2 linked regions of the Coturnix japonica genome follow. The protein of the gene in region 1 purifies or fractionates together with the protein of each later gene. This does not show direct contact. Links are inferred from orthologs where the notes say so. Each region holds a gene or a part of one and is shown on either strand. Other genes may lie near its edges.

Region 1 (3,951 bases):
CGTGAATAGATTTCATTAAGTGTCTTCATAAATAATAGGTAGTATTACAAAAATGAACAGTTTTTTCAGAGAAACTAAAGACTGAGTTGATGTTTGTGACAGCAGTATCTAAGGTAGACAACTATTTTCTGTGAATACAAAAGTTAAAAATGGAATTTTTCAAGCTCACGTTCTCCATATATTTTTGTTTTAGGCAGCTCTTGAAACACACAGAAAACAAGAGGAGAAGCAGAAAGACTTGACATGCAGATCTGCAGGTGCAGTTAATGGTGATGCAACTCTCCTTAAAAAAGGAGCAGTCAGGAAATCTGAAGGCTGGCTGCCTACATCGAGCATATCTCGACAGAGTGAGGTGGCAGACCCACTTCTTCAGCAGATTGACAACATCACATCCTTCATTGAGCAAGCAAAGGCAGCTAATAGGCTGGATGAGGTCCGTATGTTGCAAGAAAACCTGAGGCAACTTCAGGATGAATATGATCAACAGCAAACTCTGAAAGCCATTGAGCTTTCTAAAAAACAGGCAGAAGAGGAAGAGAAGCAGAGGGAAGAACTTCAGTTCCTTTGTGAAAAAGAGTGGGAAAGAGAACACCACAAATCCATGTCTCAGCATTCAATGACAGGCTCCTTAGATTTCAGAGAAGGCAAGCAGCATCAGTATGAAGCTGCAAAAGAGAATCAGAACTTGTTAGCACATAGATTGGATTTAGATATTACTCAAGTGAAAGGGAACCGAAGTTCTGAAACTACTGCTGTTCAGCAGATTCCAGCCAAAGAGTACGTAATCGTCCCAGTTAGACACCAGAATACTCCACAGTGTGGCAAAGACCAAAATCAGGCAACCTGTCTAAACCCCTTTGAAGATGAAGCAGATACCCCTCTGTCAGAGGAAGATCCCACTAACCCATTTGCTGAAGATGTGTCTCAACCGGTTTCTTTCTCTAACACAGCTCTGCAAAGTGACAGAAAAGAATATAACCCATTTGAAAATGGGGAGGAAGGTGAACAGACCAGTGGAGCATCTGTCAGTACTTCAAATCCCTTTGAAGAGGATGAAAATCCATTTCAGAAGTCTGGGAACAATTGGAATTCTGGAAATCCATTTGAAGAAGGATCTTCTACCAATCCCTTTGAGGTGGAAGATGTAACTGAGATCTTAAGAGAGGAGGCTATAGACGAGGAACTGCTTCTCCAACAGATAGATAATATCAAAGCCTACATATTTGATGCCAAGCATAGCGGACGAATGGATGAGGTGGAACTACTGACGGAGAACTTAAAGGAACTGAAGTACACTTTAGCAAAACAAAAGGAGAAATCCAACTGTTGAAGCAGCAATCACACCTTGTAAGAGTTACCTCAAGTCCGCTGCTAAGAGATGGGAAGATGGAGCAGTTATAAACAGCAGTACAGATTACAAGAAGGAATTGGGAGAATGTTATATTTTATATGCTTTCATTTATATATTCCCAACACTACTCAGCCTTGAAGAAAGAAGAGGAACGCTGCTAGTCTTGAACACTTATACTAAAAAAACTTATCATAAGTTGTTACAACCATCTTAATGCTAATTCGTCTTACTGTGTGTTTAATTTGGTCAAAAGGCTTAAGCAGTAATAGGGAACTGTCACTTTGTTTTATGGTTGGTTTGTCATCTTTCCTCCTTGTTTGCACTGTGTTGTTACAGCAGCTGAGCTACTGGCTTTTCAAATGGAGCTTTGACCGAAAAGACAAAAGTGTTTCTAAAATTTCTGCATCTTCTGCTAATGGCACAGTGTCAGGTACAGGCCAGTCTGACTGTCCTAAGAGAGTTACAAGGAAGTGCTGTTGAAAGGCTGCTATGATTCTTTGAGATGCAGGATATACAGGCCATAGGTCAGTTTTGTGCAATAGTACATGAAATGGATTTAAAAACTAGTAGAGACTTCACTGATTTTAATATGAGTAGCATTTAAAGTGTGCTTATAACAATTTCTAACTGAGGTGCCACCTTGTTACTTTTAGTTTCCCAGTCCCTCTAGGCACAAATTGCAGTGTAATAGAGAGCCACGTTGGCTTCAAAGCTACGTGTGTAGGAATGAATATGTAGATGCTCATTTCCAGAACATCAGGCTAGTATTAAGGGTGACCTTGAAATTCCTGATTATATTCTGGAATGTGCACTTTCCTTTATACTCTCTGGGTTGAAGAATGATCATATTTGTTTACCTGAGACTTGAATCCTTATTGTAGCACTTTAAGAACAGAAATCCTGGAGAGCTGAAGTGCCACTGAACTGGAATTCTGTGAGAGCTGGGCTGTGATTGTGCCAAATGTAAGTTCCTATTTTATATTTGATTCTCATCAGAAGTTAAAAGAACCAGGCATGCGAGTCTTCAGTAAGCAGGTCCAGATGGGAGTCTTGGTTTGGGCCTCCACCCATGGCAGTGACTGGGTAAAGGCCATCTCCTGTGGTGCAGGAGGGCTTCTGGAGATTGGTACTATAAAAGTTAGGATTGTTCAGTGTTAAGTTAGTGTGTTTTGCTGCTTTCCCCACATTCCCTCCCTTTGAGAGGCAGAGGTCCATCTTCAGACATAAGTGTTTGAAACGGTGGTTGGGAGAAGTTAGTTAGAAAGGTGTATCTAATTAAAGCTGAAAAGGAGGATATTGGGCAGATCATACTCTCTTGCTCTAATAGTAGTGGGCTTACTGAGAAGTAGAGTTTTGTGGAGTGGGACATCTCTTAACTATGTATCCAATAACACATGAATAGCGTAGCTGTAACTGGGGCACTACTTAGTATTTCAGAAACACAAATTATCACGCTACCTAAGCAGCAGGAGCTGTAGATTTCTTTTAAATACACTGAAGGACTGTACTTCTGTTTAAGGCAAACAAAACCAACAGATGTACCCGCAGTAAGACTAATAACTGATCAGAATAACTCAGTACAGCAGCTTCAGGACAGCTGTACTTCTCACTGCAGTTTGAAGTTGAAAGGTGCACAGAATGGGTTTTCTCAAGGACTTCAGTTTTTTATACCAGTGCATGTTGTTAATGTTGGCTGTATCTCCAGGCGTTACTGTGAAGTGGGCCGAGCATCTGCAGCAGAGTTCTGAAAGGCCGTAAACTAAACATAGTTCTGTGCTGTGGCACCAGGTGTACAAAGGCAGCAGAAATGACTGAGATGAAATTTATCCCAAGAATTGCTCACTTCAAAGTGAATAGTCCAAGTCAGTTTTTCAAGGCAGACTATGGCTGCTCAAGAGGAGTGCTTCTTGCATTATAACCCAAAGCTCTTCGTGGTATTGAGATGAAAAGAATATTTCAGTGGCTTCAGCACTTGCATTTAAAAAGCTTGTTTTCCTTGTTGTAACCATCCTGCACTACTTGTACATTCAGCCTAATTAATAAAATCCTTCTGTACATGTGACTGTACTTGTACAAGTAGCATCACGATTGCTGACAGCATTAACTGCGGTACATCAGCCTCTGATACTGAAGTTCTCTCCAATGCGAAGACCATGTGCTGGTATTTGGGCTGCTGTGAGGCTCCCAAGGCACAACAAAATGAAGACAGCTATAGAACTAGTAAGTAACTAGCGCTGAGATGGTACAATTGCATGCAGTACTCTGTATAGAAATGTGGTAAACGAGAGATAAAATAACATCTATTTCGTGCTGTATTGGCCCTTGATAATTCAAGCATTCCTTAAAAATGGGTGTGAAATGTTGTATTCAACCATTAGCTCAGAAATGCTGATAATTATTTCTACAGCAATTTGCACATACGAGCCTGATTTAATGCAATTAAATAATTAAAAGCAGTGTAGTGCTATTGCGTATTTATATACTGTTACAGGTATAGGGTAAACCATTCAAAGCAGAAACTACTATGATCTAAAACTGTGGCAGGGGCCAGTAGCATCAGAAGTAGAAGATGTCCAGCAGTACTGGACTCCAGTGGTGGT
Region 2 (3,582 bases), on another chromosome or scaffold:
ATCATGTTCTGTTCTTGGAACCTTTCAGTCTTTCAGTGACTTTGTTAAGGTGGGGGAGGTTTATGTAGAGTGAGAGTCACTGCGTCACACAGACGTTTTCTGGTGTGTAATAACGGCTTTTTGGTAGTTTTAAATAAAATGGGACCAATCGCAAAGCTGCCCGGTCAAGTTTGGGTGTCAGACAGATGAGATGCTCTGCAGTGGTACTTAAGTGTTTGGGTTCAGTGTCTCTGGGTTTTAGCTGTGTCAGGACTTGTGTTCAAATGGTTTTCTCTCAAATCCCCTCTTTGTTCCATGCAGAACATGTACCTGAACTTTGCAGAGATTGGCAGTAACATCAAGAACCTTATGGAGGATTTCCAGAAGAGGAAACCTAAGGAGCAGCAGAAGTTGGAATCCATAGCGGATATGAAGGTACAGGCAGGACTTGTTGAAGCCCGTATGTTGCAGGGTAGACCCTGTGGTGGGCCATCCTGCTCCCTCTGACAGCTCCTGAGCTGCAGTTTAGAGCCTGCTGGAATCTGGAATCCCCACAGTGGAATTGATAAGCTCCAGTTCGGGTCCTTGGCTTAACCCAGTGTGGTTGTGTGCACTTCCTATCTGAGCTGGGTCACTTGGCAGCTGCCCACAGCAGGGGCTGCTAATTTAGTCACCACCAAAGATTTAAAGAATCCTGGCAACATCTCTGGAGTTACTTTATGTGATCTTTTATTATGGGTATACCTGCATTGCTCTGTTCATTAGGGGATGTGTGCAACCCAGTGGGAAATTGTATAAGCTCCATCTTGCTGTCTGTTGCTCTTATTCTGAAGCGTGTCACTCTGGTTTGCTCCTCGCAGGCTTTTGTGGAGAACTACCCGCAGTTCAAGAAGATGTCGGGCACGGTGTCAAAGCACGTGACAGTGGTAGGAGAGCTCTCTCGACTGGTCGGTGAGCGCAACCTGCTGGAGGTGTCTGAGGTGGAGCAGGAGCTGGCCTGTCACAACGACCATTCCAGTGCCCTCCAGGTACGTTGGACCCTGAACCTGCCTGCGGTCCTTTGAATTTAGATGGTTTGCTCCTGAGTCTCCTGCTGATGGAGTTTGATACTGAAAGTCAGTGGCAGTTCTGTGCACAGATGTCCTACAGGGTAGGAACATAAGACGTTAGGATTACTTTTCTCCTACCTGTTCAGTTCAGATGGGGATGAATCATAGTTAATAACTGGCTTGAGAAGCATCTTTGCAAACTCTGTCTTTACATTTCACAGTAGAACATTCCTTCATTATATGAGGTCGGCTGAGACCTGGCAAGCTGCCTGCAGAGGCACCAGTAAAACAAAACCTGGACCCTTGTGCAGAAGCTTCTCGTATTTGTTGGGAAGGAGAAGAAATGGAATCCATAACTGAAGCAGACCGTTCCTTGTGGTTTTTACTTCTTTTTTTAACAATACAGAACAGTGAAAAGCCTTTCAGATAAAAGGTTTCTTTGGCAGAGAGGGCTGAAAAAGCCTACAAGAGACTTCTGTTATAGCTGGGTATAGACTGAAGTTTTGACCCCACTCTTGCTTGTTGGATTCCATGACCTGACCTGATATCTGACAGTGTGTCAATAATGATGAATGGTGGCTGCTGACTATTCAGAGAAAATAGCAGTATTGTTGGGAGCGACTGTATTATAGCAGAGTTCAGCCACTGACTCACTGTTTGAAAGCTTTTTTGCAGTTGGGATAGAAGTTACACCATATAATGGACTTATTTACACTTATTTACAACAGATTAGAAAGCCCTGTTTTCTTTACCTCCGTTACTCTGTTCCCTAAGTGGGTGGCTCAGTGATAACATCAGCTCCTCAAGCACTGTCGTCTATTACCAGATCCTGAGCTGATGTAAATCAGTATAGACCTGTTGAAGTCAGCACAGCTGTATAGATCTGTGAGCATATAGATGTGATTTGATAGCTTGTATTTGGTAGAATTTTGATGGCTAAGTGTTGAAGAGGGATTATAACCATAAAATGCATTTGCTGAACACAAGCTCTCTTGCTCTCTTGATTCACCTCGATGCTGGTTCAGGTCTCAGTCTGCACTGAGTGGTGTTTCTGCAGGTTTTATGGCACATAGGCTGCCTGCAGTTGTTGATACCACACGCCTAAAGGGCTCCGTTGTGTTTGTATCAACTGAGAGTGACTGAAAACCGTGTAGCAGCTGGGAAGTAAATGCAGAATGCAAAGATGGAACCGGTGTCTTTCTGCATGAGAGATCAGTATCCCCTTAGTTGTAATGCCCCAGGCTGTTCCCTGCTGCAGTCTCCTAATGGCAGCAAAGGGGCAAGGCCACAGACACAATGAAGAATAACCAGTGCACAAAATAAAGGCAGAATTGTTCTCCCACTGATGTAACTTCAGCAATTGTTAATTTCTCTGGTGGCCAAGGGCCCCCTGAGTACAGTACATTTTGGTTATTCTTTTCCTGGTCTCTTATTAATCCTGACATTGTACATGAGCCTTGAGAGATGAATGGGAGGTTTTGAATCCCATCTCCTTAGATGGACAATAGCTTTTCTGTTTTACAAGCTTCCCGCTTATATCGGCACTGCCACTGTGCTGCCAGCGCAGGATCCAGGACGTGGGACTCTGTCCTTACCCTGACAGGTGAATTCCTGACCTGAAGAGTTTCTTGGTTAACCCCAGGGAGCAGCTCCAGCCAGGATTTTACCCCATGTTTCTGTAACTGGTCTGCATCAGTGTAACAGATAGCAACAAACAGATAGCAAATAGCTGAATCAGCTGGGTCAATAACAACTGTTACAATATTGTTTCACAGCTGTTCGCTGAATGTTTCCGTGCTGCCTCCCTGTTCTGGGAGGCTGGGAGAATGTTGCCAAGATGTGCTGGGATGTTTGGAGTGCTTGAAGGTCATGTTCTCTTGCAGCATAGGAAAAATCCTCCTGGCTGCTTCTGTCCCTCTGCCATTTCAACCACTGTACGACTAAAGCTCTGCTGTGCTCTTACACTTGAGCCAATACAGGCTGATGTTTTGCTTTAAGCACAGGTAGGATTGCAGATTGTTGTGCCCTCAGGGGTTGCCAACATCCAGAGATTGTCTGAGACTCTGCTGCTTCATCCTCACACCTACAAGAAAACAGTGTAGCTCTGCTGGCACTTCCTCCTTGATGGTTAATATTGTGATGGAACGTGTGGGCCAGCTTTTGCTGCATTCAGGTTGGAAAAGGGCAGAGATTAAAGGTTTCTGCAAGCATCTGAGATACCCCGTTTGGGAGGAAAGCACTGTGAGCTGGGCTCACTCTGAGGCGCGTTATGGAGAGCTGCAGAGAATTACAGAGAATTCCCAGCTTTGTGAAAACAACTTGCAGTCCATTATACACCAATAAATCTAAGCACAGAGCTCCTAAGAAGCTCAGGTCTGTTGCTTATGGCACAGTTTAATTCCCTTGTGTTCTTTCTGCTTGTAATGTTGTTACTAAGCAGTGGGTCTGATGTGAGTCTGATTTAATGTGCTCTGAAGGCCTCTCCATTAATCCCACTTCATATCTCGCTGCAGAATGTGCGACGCCTCCTGCAGAACCCCAAGGTGACGGAGCT

Evidence for each region.
Region 2: the proteins of RBSN (region 1) and VPS45 purify together in Homo sapiens (affinity purification with mass spectrometry; 4 studies listed by BioGRID and IntAct, counting the BioPlex papers as one, with this or other methods). This does not show direct contact. The link is inferred for Coturnix japonica from reciprocal best matches to the Homo sapiens genes RBSN and VPS45.

What each region holds. Positions count from the first base shown.
Region 1 is NC_029527.1:17,051,085-17,055,035, forward strand, and holds the end of RBSN (rabenosyn-5), read left to right. Parts: intron 1-193; coding exon 194-1,330; 3' UTR 1,331-3,418; downstream 3,419-3,951. UniProt on the Homo sapiens protein: Rab4/Rab5 effector protein acting in early endocytic membrane fusion and membrane trafficking of recycling endosomes. Required for endosome fusion either homotypically or with clathrin coated vesicles.
Region 2 is NC_029540.1:63,027-66,608, reverse strand, and holds part of VPS45 (vacuolar protein sorting-associated protein 45), read left to right. Parts: intron 1-300; coding exon 301-414; intron 415-839; coding exon 840-1,007; intron 1,008-3,541; coding exon 3,542-3,582. UniProt on the Homo sapiens protein: May play a role in vesicle-mediated protein trafficking from the Golgi stack through the trans-Golgi network.